2 linked regions of the Anolis sagrei genome follow. The protein of the gene in region 2 interacts with the protein of the main gene of each other region in a pairwise test. Links are inferred from orthologs where the notes say so. Each region holds a gene or a part of one and is shown on either strand. Other genes may lie near its edges.

Evidence for each region. The genes of interacting proteins can lie anywhere in the genome.
Region 1: the proteins of EXOC8 (region 2) and WASHC1 interact in binary tests that used the Homo sapiens proteins (3 or more experiments, as listed by UniProt). The link is inferred for Anolis sagrei from reciprocal best matches to the Homo sapiens genes EXOC8 and WASHC1.

The regions. Positions count from the first base shown.
Region 1 is NC_090025.1:177,533,700-177,541,900, forward strand, and holds the start of WASHC1 (WASH complex subunit 1), read right to left. Parts: upstream 3,045-8,201; 5' UTR 2,929-3,044; intron 1-2,928. UniProt on the Homo sapiens protein: Acts as a component of the WASH core complex that functions as a nucleation-promoting factor (NPF) at the surface of endosomes, where it recruits and activates the Arp2/3 complex to induce actin polymerization, playing a key role in the fission of tubules that serve as transport intermediates during endosome sorting.
Region 2 is NC_090021.1:60,851,582-60,858,793, reverse strand, and holds the start of EXOC8 (exocyst complex component 8), read right to left. Parts: upstream 3,193-7,212; 5' UTR 3,095-3,192; coding exon 1,535-3,094; intron 1-1,534. Other genes in the region: DNA-dependent metalloprotease SPRTN, read left to right, coding at 3,303-3,604, 4,763-4,862, 6,851-6,979. UniProt on the Homo sapiens protein: Component of the exocyst complex involved in the docking of exocytic vesicles with fusion sites on the plasma membrane.

The DNA.
Region 1 (8,201 bases), on a different chromosome or scaffold from region 2:
AAGGTCATGTGGCTAGCATGACTGCATGGAGTGCCATTACCTTCACGTCAAAGTGGTACCTATTGATCTACTCACATTTGCATGTTTCTGAACTGCTAGGTCGGCAGAAGCTGGGCTTAACAGCAGGAGCTTACCCCGCTCCCCAGATTCGAACTGCCAATCTTACCAGTCAGCAAGTTCAGCAGCTCAGTGGTTTAACCCACTGCGCAACTGGTCTTCAGTTGTAGAAGACCTTAAAATCAGTGCCTTGCAAACAGTGGTTCCAAATCAAAAGATCATTCAAATACATTCCCAACTGGGTTACTCTATGAGGCTATTTCTGTTAATTTCTGGGTGTTTCTTTTCCTTTCCCACAGCAATACAGCAATGTTACAACTTTTAAAAGCCACTGTCCCTCAGTGTCACCATAAAATAGGCAGACATTTCATGCAGATGCGTACTACCAACATACGTCTATATTAACAAAAAATTTTTAAAAAATAGAATATAAAACGTGTATGATTTTTTGCACTTCCTATCCACTGTAGAGGAAACTAATTTACACATTCAACATAGTGACCACAGATGAAAGGCAGAGCCAAAGGTGTAAACAGCACCAGCTGGGAGTGGTTCCAAACCACTCCAATTGGATACATTTAGAAGGATTAATCAAGTACATAAGCCATTAGAGAAGGACAGTACAATCCTGACACAGAGTTGCATGACGTGCATTCCCAACTAACTAAGGGGTAATTGTGAGGTGCCTTGTATTTAAAATAGCTGATACAGAAAGATTTGATAGAGTTAATTTGCATCTACATTAAGGGCTTCGTGTTAGGATTCCTCTGAAATAAGGGAATGTGCTAGTATCCTATAGCAGTGCTCTCTGTATTGCTTAATGTGTGGGACTAGCATCACATGGCACCACATGACAACGCCTCCTCCTTTCTTTCTTGGAAATTAACTGTGAACCAGCAGTGGATAGGATATAGACTGGCACCAGTCCATGGACCTCCTCTCTCTCACAGAATATGTGGCTCACAGACTTTAAGAGGCGTAGCTTACAATATGCTCAGATCCTATATGAAGAGATATGTTTTCAGTTGAACTCGGGACTAATGACTCATGATTAATTGATTGGCTTATTATTGCACAAGCTTTCTTTCCTATCATGGGTTCTGTATTTTTTTTTTATTTTTTTTTTACAAAACAGCTTCTCTGGAAGTGCTCGGATGTAACAAACTAAAATTTGAGTTGCTGCAAGTTTTCTGGACTGTATGGCTATGTTCCAGAAGCATTATCTTCTGGTGTTTTGCCCACATCTATGGAAGGCATCCTCAGATGGTGTGAAACTAAAATCTCCCTGCATAATCCAGTATAGACACAAAAAGATCAGAAACATGCATTCTCCTTTTAACCAATCACAGTTAGTATTCGAAATGACTACAGGCTCGTTCCAAATGAATCAAAACAACAGTTTACTAACACACACCAACAGCATCAGAAACTGAAATCCAATTCTGGCTTGTTTTGTAAAGTTGATATTACAACTAAGCAGTTTGTCAAGTTAAGACGCAATGCAAAACTGCTGTTAGCTGACAATGGAAGGAAATGCTTCCTGTCTAAGGAGAGGAATGAACACACAAACCCAACCATGGTGTGAGAACAATACAGAATAACAAATTAGATCTACAGCCACCCCCCCCCCCCAATTGATAGCTAATGTGTCAGCACTGCAATAAACAAATTATTCATTTCTATCCTGCCCTTCTCAACCTGCAGGTGACTAACAACATGCATCTAAGCAAAAATTCAATGTCTCATTATACAAACCAAATAAAACATAACATTAAATCACTAGAAACAATAGAGCGTGCTTGCTCCATCAATCTTCATCATTTACACAAATGACCAGCCACTGCCAGAAGAGACAGAGAGTTTCATCTATGCAGATGATCGTGTCATTACCGCTCAAGCAGGGAGCTTTGAAATGGTTGAACAAAGGCTCTCAGAAGCTCTAGGTGCTCTTACTGCCTATTACAGGGAAAACCAGCTGATCCCTAATCCATCTAAAACACAGACATGTGCTTTTCACCTCAATAGCAGACAAGCATCCCAAGCTCTGAGGATTACCTGGGAAGGAATCCCACTGGAGCATTGCAGCACACCCAAATACCTGGGAGTCACTCTGGACCATGCCCTGACCTACAAGAAGCACTGCCTGAGTATCAAGCAAAAAGTGGGTGCTTGAAATAATATCATACGAAAGCTGACTGGCACAACTTGGGGATCACAACCAGATACAGTGAAGACATCTGCCCTTGCGCTATGCTACTCTGCTGCTGAGTATGCATGCCCAGTGTCACATGCATTATGGAGGACCTTTTTGCAGCAACACCAGAGGCACTCCCAAGTGGCCATTCCTAACAGCCTCAGGCCTCTTCCTTAAGCGGCTGAGGGGGGAAAGGAAAAGGCCTGAGACTGTTAGGAATGGTGGGAGTTGAAGTCCAAAACACCTAAAGGGCCCAAGTTGGCTCATGACTGATCTACACTCTATATTAATGCAGTTTGACACCACTTGAACTGCCATGTTAATTTGGGGAGTTGAAGTTTGGTGCTGCACCAGCACTCTCTGCCAAAGAAGGCCAAAAACCTTGTAAAACTACAACTCCCATAACTCTACAGCTTTGAGCCATAGCAGTTAAAAGTGGCAATAGTTTTACAAGGCCTTTTGCTTTCTCTAAGAGGGCTGGCGCCTCACCAAACTCCAATTCCCATGACCCCACAGCATTCAGCCATGGGAGTTCAAGTGGTGTCAAACTGCATTCATTCTACAGTGTAGATGCACCTCTTCTCAAAGCTCTGAGGGAGAAGAAAGCCTCGGCTCTCCCTTTGGGAAGGAAGAAGGCAACCAAGTCAGAGAGGGAAGAATCCCCGCCTGCTTCTCACCTGGAATGAGGCGGCACCTCGAACCCCCCTTGCAACCAAGGCGACGGCGCTCTCCAGGAAACGGCACTTCCGCCCACACCTCGTCTCCCTTTCCGCCCGCAAAGCTTCCCGCATGACGCCCACTTCCGCCCTCGCTTGACGTCACTTTCCTACGGGTCCTCCCTATGCTCAGAAAGGGAACGTATTCCCCACTCGTTGCCAGCCCGTTGCTTGCTGGTTGTAGGGAGTTTCACATGTACTCAGCTCTGCTTTGAGTTCAGTGGGATTTGTCCTTGGAGAAGTCTACAATAGGATTGCCTCTACTGAGTTGTGAAAACTTTAATGGACTCTTAACTCCCTTCTTCAATTTGTAGATGCCAGAAAATACTATAGAAAGGGTTGGTTTGGGGGTTGGGAATTGGAAACACAGTGTATGCCAACGAGGATTGTCCTTTCGTTGTTGTTTATTCGTTCAGTGGCTTCCAACTCTTCATGAACTCATGGACCAGCCCACGCCAGAGCTCCCTGTTGGCCGTCGCCACCCCCAGCTCCTTCAGAGTCAAGTCAAGTCTTGCTTATAGCAAGATGTTTAATCGTTCAGTTGCTTCTGACTCTTCATGACCTCATGGACCAGCCCACGCCAGAGCTCCCTGATGGCCGTCGCCACCCCCAGCTCCTTCAGAGTCAAGTCTTGGTTATAGCAATATGTTTAATCGTTCAGTTGCTTCCAACTCTTCATGAACTCATGGACCAGCCCACGCCAGAGCTCCCTGTTGGCCGTCGCCACCCCCAGCTCCTTCAGAGTCAAGTCTTGGTTATAGCAAGATGTTTAATCGTTCAGTTGCTTCCAACTCTTCATGAACTCATGGACCAGCCCACGCCAGAGCTCCCTGTTGGCCGTCGCCACCCTCAGCTCCTTCAGAGTCAAGTCAAGTCTTGGTTATAGCAAGATGTTTAATCGTTTAGTTGCTTCCAACTCTTCATGAACTCATGGACCAGCCCACGCCAGAGCTCCCTGTTGGCCGTCGCCACCCCCAGCTTCTTCAGAGTCAAGTCTTGCTTATACCAAGATATCTAATCAGCAATACATAGATAGATAGATAGATAGATAGATAGATAGAAGATACAGAATGGGGGATGCCTGGCTTGACAGCAGGTTTTGGAGCTGCAAGGCTATTCAAGGTTAATCAAGTTGGCCAACTGCAACATTCACATCGGCCTCCAACAGACAAGAGTTCAGTGTATTGTCGAAGGCTTTCATGGCCAGAATCAGTTTTTTAATACTGGTAGCCAGATTTTGGGTTTTCTTGGTCTGTAGGTGGTTTGTATGTTGTGTTTCCTCATCAGCTTCCCATCAGCTACAAGAGTAAAGATGAAGATCCACCCAGAAGAAAAGTGTTCTTGCTATACATCAAGGGAACCACTGACCGCATAGGGAAGCTGATGAGGAAACACAACATACAAACCACCTACAGACCCACCAAGAACATCCAACAAATGCTACGTTCAGCAAAGGACAAGAGGGATCCTCTCACCTCTGCAGGAGTCTACCGTATTCCATGCAGCTGTGGACAAGTCTACATAGGGACCACCAAACGCAGCACTGCCCAAACACGAATCAAGGAACATGAAAGGCACTGCAGACTACTCCAACCAGAGAAGTCAGCCATAGCAGAGCACCTGATGAACCAACCTGGACACAGCATATTATTTGAGAACACAGAAGTGCTGGACCACCCTCACAACCACCATGTCAGACTACACAGAGAAGCCATTGAAATACACAAGCATGTGGACAATTTCAACAGAAAGGAAGAAACCATGAAAATGAACAAAATCTGGCTACCAGTATTAAAAAACTCTAAAATTACAACAGCAAAACAACAGAGAGTAAACAATCAGGCACATCAAATCACCACTCAACAAAAGATCCCCCCAGGCACTTCCAAGCCATTAAATGCTAATCAAGGTGGTCAGTTGAAACATTCAAACCTAACTCCAGCAGACAAAAGTCCTTCGTCCCACCCTGGTCATTCCACAGATATATAAACCCATTGTCCTAATTCCAACAGACCTCACTACCTCTGAGGATGCTTGCCATAGATGCAGGCGAAACGTCAGGAGAAAATGCCACTAGAACATGGCCATATAGCCCGGAAAAAACTACATCAACCCAGACAAGAGTTCTTTCTCCCACCCTGGACATTCCACAAATATATAAATCTCACTTGCCTAGTTTCCAACAGACCTCACAACCTCAGAGGATGCCTGCCATAGATGTGGGTGAAACGTCAAGAGACAATGTTTCTGGAATATGGCCATATAGCCCAGAAAACTCACAGCAACCCGATGATTCTGGCCACGAAAGCCTTCGACAACAGATAATATGATGATTTTTTTTGCTAGAAAGGATACATATCAGTGTTTAGTGATGTAATCCATTTCAGCTTTAGTTTATGCTCTCCAACTGTTCCACTTTGGCAAGGAGAGTCCCATGTAGTCCTCTGTCCTTATATGTTTTCAGCTGTTTTAAAAGTGTCCCAGTTTTTCTCACCTCCTTTCACTCCCCTTCTGGGGGACATGAGAGAAGCCTCCTCGCAGGATTGCAAGACATCCGGGCGTCCCCTGGGCAACGTCTTCGTAGACGGCTGATTCTCTCACCCCAGAAGCGACTAGAGGCAACTTGCAGCATGCAAGCAAGACAACCACTCCCCTCCTTTGTCCTCAGCTTACTTCAATGGCCACAAACGGAGTGCAAAGTCCAAAAGCAGTTTGCGACCAGCTCAGAAAGAGCAATGGCAAAAGTAAACTGCTGCAACCTATCCTAGCTCATTTGTATTTATTCATTAACTTTTGCTATCTAGACCACATATTCTGGATCATATCTGTCCCAGTTTGCATCTGTGACATGTTGGAGATTATGTTTGATTTCAGAATGCATTTTAAGTACTTTGTTACTCATTGCTTTTCCTGAATGTTTAACTAGTCTTTGCTGCTATGAGATAGCAATGGCCACATCAACACTGCTATATAATGCAATTGAACTGTGTAATATGGCTGTCTTCACTGCCATATAATGCAATTCAAACTGAATTATATGGCAGTGTGGACAGGGCCTATGAGTTCACAGTTTATGTATGGACCTGGTGAATCCTATGTTTAAGCTTTCTCTTGCCGGCATATAATGGTGTTCCCTGCAGTCATGCTGGCCACATGACCTTGGAGGTGTCTACGGACAATGCCAGCTCTTTGGCTTAGAAATGGAGATGAGCACCAACTCCCGAGTCGAATGTGATTAGACTTAATGCCAGGGGAAACCTTTAACTTTTATAAATGGTAGGGATCTAAGAATTAAAGGGTTGCTTTGTGGAGCAGTGCCAATTTGTACTTGAAGCTGGTCATTTTTCATTATGGAAGAGTTATTTGAAGTATAACCCAGAATGATATCATTAAACTGGAGCACTGAACCGATAGCTACATGGTTTAATTTATCAATGATGATTTGTGTTATACTTAAAAATAACAAGATGCATAAGTACACAACAAACCATAATTAGTTTGGCAGCATCTGAAAAAAAGATGTCAAAGTAGTAGTGGATAATAAATATATGTCATGGCTCAAAGCTTATCCCATTTTTGGTAGGATTAGACTGCAATGACTCATCTATTCTATTTTGATATAGGGCTGGTCACCATAATTCCAGAAGGACAAATCAGAGAGGTGCGTGTACTTCTTTATTTGTGTTATTGAACTATTTTATCTGGCCTTGTATCACTGAACCTCAGGCTGGCGTGCAAGGAAAAACCATGTAAGCCATTTGAAACAGTGCAGAACTTAAAACAAAAAGGTAATTTAAATTAACATGAAGCATGTTAAACAATTTAACAACTTAAAACAGTTTAAAAAATTAAAGCAGTTTAAAATTGGGCACATGTACATGTTGGAAAAGATACATTTAATAATGTTTTATTTTTTAAGTCAACACCAGCAGTCCTCTGTCCTCCAAGTGAGAGGGCATTACACAAACTGTGGCAAAAATAGGAACCAAATGTGGTTTCCACAAGTTTTATACTCAGTGAAACAGACACTGAGATTCACACCATTTCTACATTGTACATGCACTAAAAAAGTTTTTTTTATGCGAATCAGTCTCATATCCCTCGACTGTCCCCATTTAGCAAGGACAGTTAAAATTAATCCTGTGTCATCTCATTTTTTCAGAATCTTTTAAAACGTCCCAGTTTCTTTCTACTTCTCCCTTCCTTCAACTTTCTTCATTTGCTACAAACCGAATACAACATTGAAAAGTAGTTTACTCTCAGTTCACTCAGCAGGTGGAGAAGAGAGATGTGGGCAGAATCCTGCCCTTCCCTGAAGACTCAGGGAAGGCAAACTATTACAGGTTGATCCTAGCTTGTGTGTTCTTCCTTTTTCTTACCTTTCACTAGCTTGACACAATCTGAAGTTATTCAGCCACATAAATCCCATTTTCATCTGAGAAATGTTGAATGGTGTGCAACCTCAGTATTTTTCTATTAATAATATTATTGTAGGTTCTGTCATTTGTGGCTTGATATTAAATTGCTGCGCAAAGATCCAGCAATAGTTTGGTTTATTTATTACTTGTTTATTCTGCCCTTTTCTCTCTAAGCACCTTAAGAAAGGGTTCCTTGACATTTTTTTCATCTTTATGGAAGAGGCTAGGCTCATATGCAGTCGCTGATCCAAGATAATCCACAGGCACATCTTCATCATGCCTTATCCCAAAAGGAGATGAATGGTCTCTCCCTCTATCTCAACTCTCCTGCCTTGGCCTCAAGGGAGATAAGAAGAGCCAAGCACAATCCCATCGTATTTTGGCCCAAAAAGAGATGAAAAGTCCTTCTTCCATCCCAACTTCTGCTGAGGCCTCAGAGAGAGAAAGGGAGAGGCAGAAGCAGAAGAAAGGTCCTCCCTCCATCCCAGCTGCCACTGCCATAGCCATGAATGGAGAGACATCTATAGTTCCATCACAGCTATTCCCAGAAGCAGTTGATAAGCCGTACCTCTATCCAACTGCCACTGCCCGGTCTCAAAGAAAGGAAGGGAGAGGCAGGCCCATCATGCTATAGCCCAGAAGAAGATGGAAGGTCCTACTTTCATCCTGGCTGCCACTATCCTGGCCATGAAGGGAGAGAAGAAGAGGCAGTTTCTGCTGGACATGCCACCATACCCTTTCCTTGTTTGTCATGTCTGTAGAAGGTAAATCGAAGGGCAGGGAATGGTTTTTCTTTTTTTAATAAAGCACTGCGCA
Region 2 (7,212 bases):
ATACTTCTCAGAGCTTTTTAAAAGACCATTTGATAGTTATCCTTTAAGAATAGTTTATTTGGGTCTTGGATTTCATGACATATTCTTAGAATATGTAGTAATTACTCCTAGGAAATACCCAAATGGAGAATTTCATTTCACTAGAAGGAAGCCAACATATGTAGCTTCTCTCTCGGTTTAACCCAAAATTTTATTCATTTTATTCTGCTTTATTCTGCTTCATTTTTATTCTGCTTTCTCTCAAAATAGAGATTCAAGGAGAGATTAACCCCCACCCCCACCTTAGAGAACTATGCCGGTCTTCAACAAACTTGAATTGTGCCTAATTCCCTTAACAAGAATAGAACAAAATAATTGTGACTAAATTTACCTAAAGTGATAGGTCTCATGTCAATTTCAACATGCTTTCTGCATCAATTTCAAAATAGCACAGTCAACATTAATTTGAGCCATGTCAGGTCCATAAATCTTTAACATTAGTTTGTAAATAGAAACCTGCCATGAAAGCAGAAAGCAGTACATGACTCTGCATTTATTTCTATTTCTGCCACCATTCCAGCCATAAGAAAAAGACAATCTTTAACACACTCCACAGTGCTAAGAATTGAAGAGAAAGGAGTGGTGTTGGGATATAATTCTACCCATCCAATAATTTCCAGATGCGATTAAACTAAGTGCTCAAAGTGCTAGGTTGTCCTGACTATTGCAACCACTTGCAAGTTTAGTCCCTATATTCTCTGCTACGTTTTTCAGTACATACTGCCTTTCTTCGGCAGGCAAGCCACACCCTCACTTCTGTATGTGAACAAACCATTTGGGATAAAGCCAAGCTACAGAGGGAGTTTGTACATAACTTGTCCTCCCTCATCTACTAAATGATAAAAGGGCGGGGTTCTTTAGTGTTAGGAAGGCAAGAAAAACAGGTATTATCCTGCTGTGAAAAACAGCAATAGATCTTTAGAAAACATAAGAAAGCAAAACAGGAAAAATGACTGGAGTAATGCTGAGCATTGGGATGAGTGAACCACACAAAGCCACGGCCATCATAAATAACTGCCTACAAAAATAATATCCTGTCTCAGGAAGCTGGGCTAGATGACTCAATACTTTGCTTCCATGTTGCTTCTAAATTCAAGGACACTATTTGGAAAACGTTTCCACTCATGACGCCTTTTGACCTAAGAATTTTTTGTGGGTACACAAATATATAGAATAGGCATCAATAGATGTGAGAAGAAATCAGCACTTGTGAGGCTTGCTAAACAGGCTGATTTTCCTTTTTATGAACTATACCTGAAGCATCTTCTGTAGAATTACTGTGAACACTGCACAACAGATTTGTGCAAATGTCAAAACACCCACTAGCTGACATTCAGAAAACGTTTACTGCTGACAAATGTTTCTGGACTCCAACATTGAGCAAAGGGAACCCCGCTTGAGGTTGGGACCCAAAGTTTTATGAAGCTGTGATCTAGAGGATATGTAATTAAGGGTAACACAGTTTTTTTTCCATCTCATCACTTTGGGCCCTTACCTTTACACACTCAGCAGCAGTAGATAAGCTCTCCTTACTGTCAAACACCTGCTTGCTAAACGCATCCACAAACATCCTCATTGCTGATCGAGCCCAGACAACAAAAGCCGAATAGCACCCACTGTTGCCAGCAAAGTCCGTCTCAAACTCCTTTGCGGTCTCTAGCAGGCTGGTGAAGAAGACATGGCACAGCTTGTGAATGTACAGCAGAGTGGCACCTTCAATGCGCAACTGTCGGATGGCTGTGTGAACGGCCGCTTCCCTGTTCCGCAGGAAAAGTTCGCACGCCTTGGTTGACTGGCCCAACCGGATGAGCTGAGAAACAGCACGACGGGTTGCTCTGGGCCCACCTCGAAGTGACCTATCTGGAGAAAGCTCAAACACAAGCACGTCGGTGAGCTGCCTGATTCTCTCATCCACTTTTGCTCGTAACTCCCTGACTGGTTGTGTCAAGGGCTTATCCCCTAGATACTCATTCAGCTTATCCAGCAAGTCAACCGCCCCTTCGAAGTCTCTCTGAGCGATGCAGACATCCAAGTCTTCAGGCAACTCCTGAATCCACTCCAGGGAGAGATCCACCACTTCTTCCTCTGGGGTCCCCCCTTCCCCACTTTCCTCCTCATCCTCATCGAAGGGGTTGGTAGCCTCTGGAGGGGCTGGGGGAGGCGCACGGGCTGCCGGCACCTCCTGTTCCAGCCTCCGCTTCTCGCTCAGCACGCGGCTCCTCTTGGTCTCCTCCAGCACCTCCAGCCACTCTTTCTTGATCTTAGCGTTCTCGGCCTGGAAGATGCGGCTCTCGGGGAACATGAGCAGCTTGAACATGTCCTTCATGGGCGGGTTATCCTTGACATTGACGACGGCCAGGCCGTCCAGTGGGTAGAGGGCGTCGTAACGGTAAGTGCCCCGGCGGTTGGGCAGCCAGGCCGCCACCAGCAGGCAGTCGTTCATCAGGAAGGCGTGCACCTTCTGAATCTGGACCATGTGGTCGGCGTCGTACTCCACCAGGTCCCCGTTGTATACCAGGTACTTGCCGGGGCTCTCCGGAAGCAGGTCGCGGCAGCCCTCCACCTTCTCCAGGAGGGTGGTCAGGGTGCGCTGGCGGCCCTCCTCGCTGGCTGCCGCCTCCTTGGCGGAGAGGGGCAGGAAGGGGTTGGCGTGCGGGTCCGAGGAGGCAGCCCCGGCGGCTCTGTCGTCGCGGTCGGCCTGGAGGAGCAGCAACGCCTGGGTGACGGCCTCCAGGATGCCCTTCTGCTCGGTGAGGATGTGGCTGAGCTGGTACATCTCGCTCTCCAGGTAGCTGATCTCGCGCGCCGTCTCGATGAACTGCCGGTAGTTCTGGTAGACGTTGCGCTTCAGGCTCTGCGCCGTCTCCTCGCTCAGGGCCTGGATGCGCTGGCGGTGCTCCTGCAAGTCCCGGTCGCCGTCCGACTGCTGCGAGAGCTGCTTCACGTACTCCTCGGCCGCGTAGCTCCCGGACTCCAGCTGCCGCCTCAAGCGGCTCCCTCCCGCTCCTCCTCCGCCGCCGCCGCCCGGAGCCACCTCACCCAGAGACAGCGCCATGGCCGAGCCGGAGCCGCCAGAGACCAGCCTTCGCCGAGGAGGGAGAGGAAGCAAGGCGTCGCTGCGCCGGAAGCAGGGGCCGCCTCTGACCGGAAGGCCGCTTACGTGCGCCGCTGCGTAAAAAACGTCAAGGCGCCGCGCCGCAGTGACGCGAGGCGCGCGACTCTCTCCGAGGCAGGAAGACAACAAACCCTCGGCTTTACGGCGCATGCGCCGGGATTTGAAGGCGGAGGGCTCAACGAAAGGCTGTGCTCCAATGGACGGCGACTTCTTGCTGGCGCTGCGGCTCCAAGAGGAGTGGAACGCGGAGGAGGGCGGCCGCGCACGGGCCTCCCTCAAGGCCGGCCCAGCCTTCACCTCGCCGGCACGGCCGCTGTCGCTGGTGGACGAGAGCTGGGAGCTGCTGGATCCCAGCCCGGACGTGCGAGGCCTCTTCCTGCAGTTCAACCAGAGCCTCTTTTGGGGGGCCCTGGAGGCCGTGGAGGTGAAGTGGAGCCCCCGCATGACGCTGTACGGTTTCATGGGACACGTTGTGCCCCACACATTTTCTTATTCGGATTTATGGCTGTGTCCTTACCTCTTTTAAGGGGTTGGCTTAGCCCAGGCGTGGGGAAACTTTCAATAGAATCATAGAGTTGGAAGAGACCTCGTGGGCCATCCAGTCCAACCACCTCCCCAAGGCATAGTTCAGTAGTCAGAACTACCCTTGGCTCTCAAGTCTGGACTAAAATGTTCCTTTTCAGATTAAACCACAATCCCAGAATTCTCATACTAGCTGGATGTTGTAGGTTTTTTCGGGCTATATGTTCTAGAGGCATTTCTCCTGACGTTTCGCCTGCATCGATGGCAAGCATCCTCAGAGGTAGTGAGGTCTGTTGGAACTAGGAAAAAGGGTTTATATATCTGTGGAATGACCAGGGTGAGACAAAGGACTCTTGTCTGCTGGAGCTAGGTGTGAATGTTTCAGCTGACCACCTTGATTAGCATTTGATTGCCTGGCAGTGCCTGGAGCAATCTTTTATGGAAGGAATGATCTAGCTACATGCAGGAAATGTCCAAGTAAGAACATGCAGCCATTGGCAATTACTGTCAGTGATACATGCATCTTAAGCCCTAGAAGAGTCATCTTTCTTGGGAGCAGAGGAATCTCAGAAGTAAGGAAACCTTTGTGAATAAAAGACCTCAGGAGTGGGTAGCCGAATTCAGATAGGCCTGGAAACCAGGCTGTTTAATATCCTAGGTGATTTCTGTTGCTGGAATAAGTTTTACATGGAGTCTATCTCCTTAAAGTTACTTTTTAGTATTGACTTATGGATCCAAGTTAACACCTAACTCTTATATCATGCCTACCTTTTGCTCCCCAATGTCTGAACCTGACATTACTCTAACAACACTTATTAGATTGTATCCACTTTCACACTAATATTTGGCTACAGCTTCCCCTTGTTGATCAATAAACGTGTTGAAAAAAATAGGCACTAATCACAATCTTAAATTTTCTAACAAATTACTGTAAAAGAGAAAAGTCCTGATTATTTACCCCCAAGGAGAACAATCGTCCAACCTTCTATTTCAAACAAGGTAAGAACCCTAATGCATTATGAATACAGAACAGCCAAGTTGCAGTTGAAAGCAAATGTTTGTTGTTTGTGATTTATTATTTTCTAGATGTGCAGGAGTTTGCTGCTATGAAGGCCGTGGTGGAATGTGCTCCATTCGACTTAGTGAGCCCCTTCTAAAGCTGCGACCGAGAAAGGATCTTGTAGAGGTACTGTTGATGGTTGTCTTTGTAGAGAAACATCAAACAAACTGTAGTAAATTTATTGTAGCTAGCATGCCTGAACATTCAAATATGTCCAGAAGGCCCTTGAATGAATAGTTATCTAGCTCCTCACATGAGCATTTATGTTTGATGTCCTATTTGATATGAGTTTGTTCGGCCTCAACATAAGAACAAACAGATCATTTATCTTTGTTCCTTGAGGGTCGTTCCCAAAAGGTGTTGATGGGGGACAACTGCTTTACTTCACAACCATTGACTTGTGGGGTCCCCTAGGGATCAGTATTCCCCCCTATGTTGTTTAACATTTACATGAAGCCACTGGGAGAGATCATCTGGAGTTTTGGGGTCAGATGTCATCTGTATGGAGTTGTTGTTCAGCTCTCTCACTCCTTCCCACCAGTTACTAAGAAGGCTGTGATTCTATGAAATTTGCCCTCCCTCTGCTAGATAACGTGACTGCATTTGTGACTGAAAAGTGTATTTTGCTTTTAATGTTTTTGGTGTTCTTAGATGTTTAGAGGCATAGCTGTACTCAAGGTAGTACTCTGTATTTTGTAAGTGATTTTTGATCCTCTAGAACAGTGATTTCCAACCTTTGGTCCTCCAGGTGTTTTGGACTTCAACTTCCAGAAATCTTAGCCAGCTTACCAGCTGTTTGGAATTATAAGAACTGAAGTCTGAAGCACCTGTCAGACTAAAAGTTGGGAACCATTGCTCTAAAATGAGAGGATCCAGTGATTTGAGCAGCTGTCAAAAAGTAAGGTGGGTGTGATGCATGTAGCATATTGAAAATATTTTAACTTTGATTTCAAAGAAATATGCTTCTCAGATCTTTTACCTTTGAAACTTACAGAAGGAGAAGCATTACAAAATGAAATGCTCACGGTGGAATTTTTTTGTTTTGATGTAATTTGTTGTATTCAAAAACAACAAAAATATTAACAATAAGCCCTCATGTCATCAGTTGGGGACCCCTCCTCCCAGCACCAACTGCTGCTCTGGGCCAGAGTGAAGGGGGGGGGGGGACAGTTCCATCTTGTCTCCTGCATTTGTCATCAGTTAGGGACCACTCCCCCAGCACCAATTGCTGCTCTGGGCCAGAGTGAAGAGAGAGGGGGCCAGAAGACAGTTTTACCTTGTTTCCTGTGCTATGCTAATAATATAATATAATGTAGTGTACTATATTGTATATACATATAATATTTATAATATTATAATGTAATACAATATAATAATACTACTAACAATATGATATAATTATATATTTTATATTACATGTGATGTTACTAGTAATATTACAATATAATGGTATAGTACAATATAGTAATATATAATACTGATATTGTACTATGCTAATAATATATTGTATATATATATATATGTCTTGTAAGCCACTCTAAGTCCCCTTCGGGGTGAGAAGGGTGGCATATAAATGTCTTAAATAAATAAATAAATAAATTCCCTCACATTTTAGCTTCAGGAAAATCATAGAATAACATTTCTGATCTGACAAAAATTAAGAAGCCCTTTAAAGTAATACAATCCCAGTGTGTAGAAAAAGTCTAAAGAGAGGAAGTATCTCTCACCCAACTGTAGTAGATCACACAGTTGTCACAGTCAGACATGTGTTCACTCTTGCCCACCTCATTTATGGACTTGTGTGTCAGGTCAAACAAATTCTCAGGTCAGACTAACAAATCTGACTTCTTATAAAGCTGGGAGTGATTTTGAGCTCCTGCCTCCTTCTTTGTTCCTCTCCTCGTTTGCCAGCTGTAGCATTTTGATTTTAGTTAAAGGCCATATTGATTACAACGAACAATGCCAGAGAATGAGAAAAATGGAAGGAAACATTTTAAGTGTTTATTTTAAACTGGTGCAGCCCATCTCTGTTTTAAGCCAATTGTAGATAACTATTTCTTATTGCTTAAGAAATAAACATTTCAACTAATCCAATGATTTTTTAAAAATTTCAGACTCTTTTACATGAAATGATTCATGCTCTGTTGTTTGTCACTTATAATGACAAAGATCACGATTCTCATGGCCCGGAGTTCTGCAAACACATGGATCGGATAAATCGCTTAACTGGCACAAATATTACGGTAAACATTATTTGTAAGGCACTTCTCAATGCTTGAAGTACAACAGATTAGTTCCCAAACTAAGGTCCGCAGGCTGGATGCAGCCCTCCAATGTAATTTACCTGGACCCCGCCCTAAACTTTAGATTTAGGATCATCCTAATTCTGAAGTGACTTGAAGGCACAGAACAACACTATACTGTTTATATTAACACTATACAGTTTGTCATTTAACTGTATGAAGCTTACTATTAG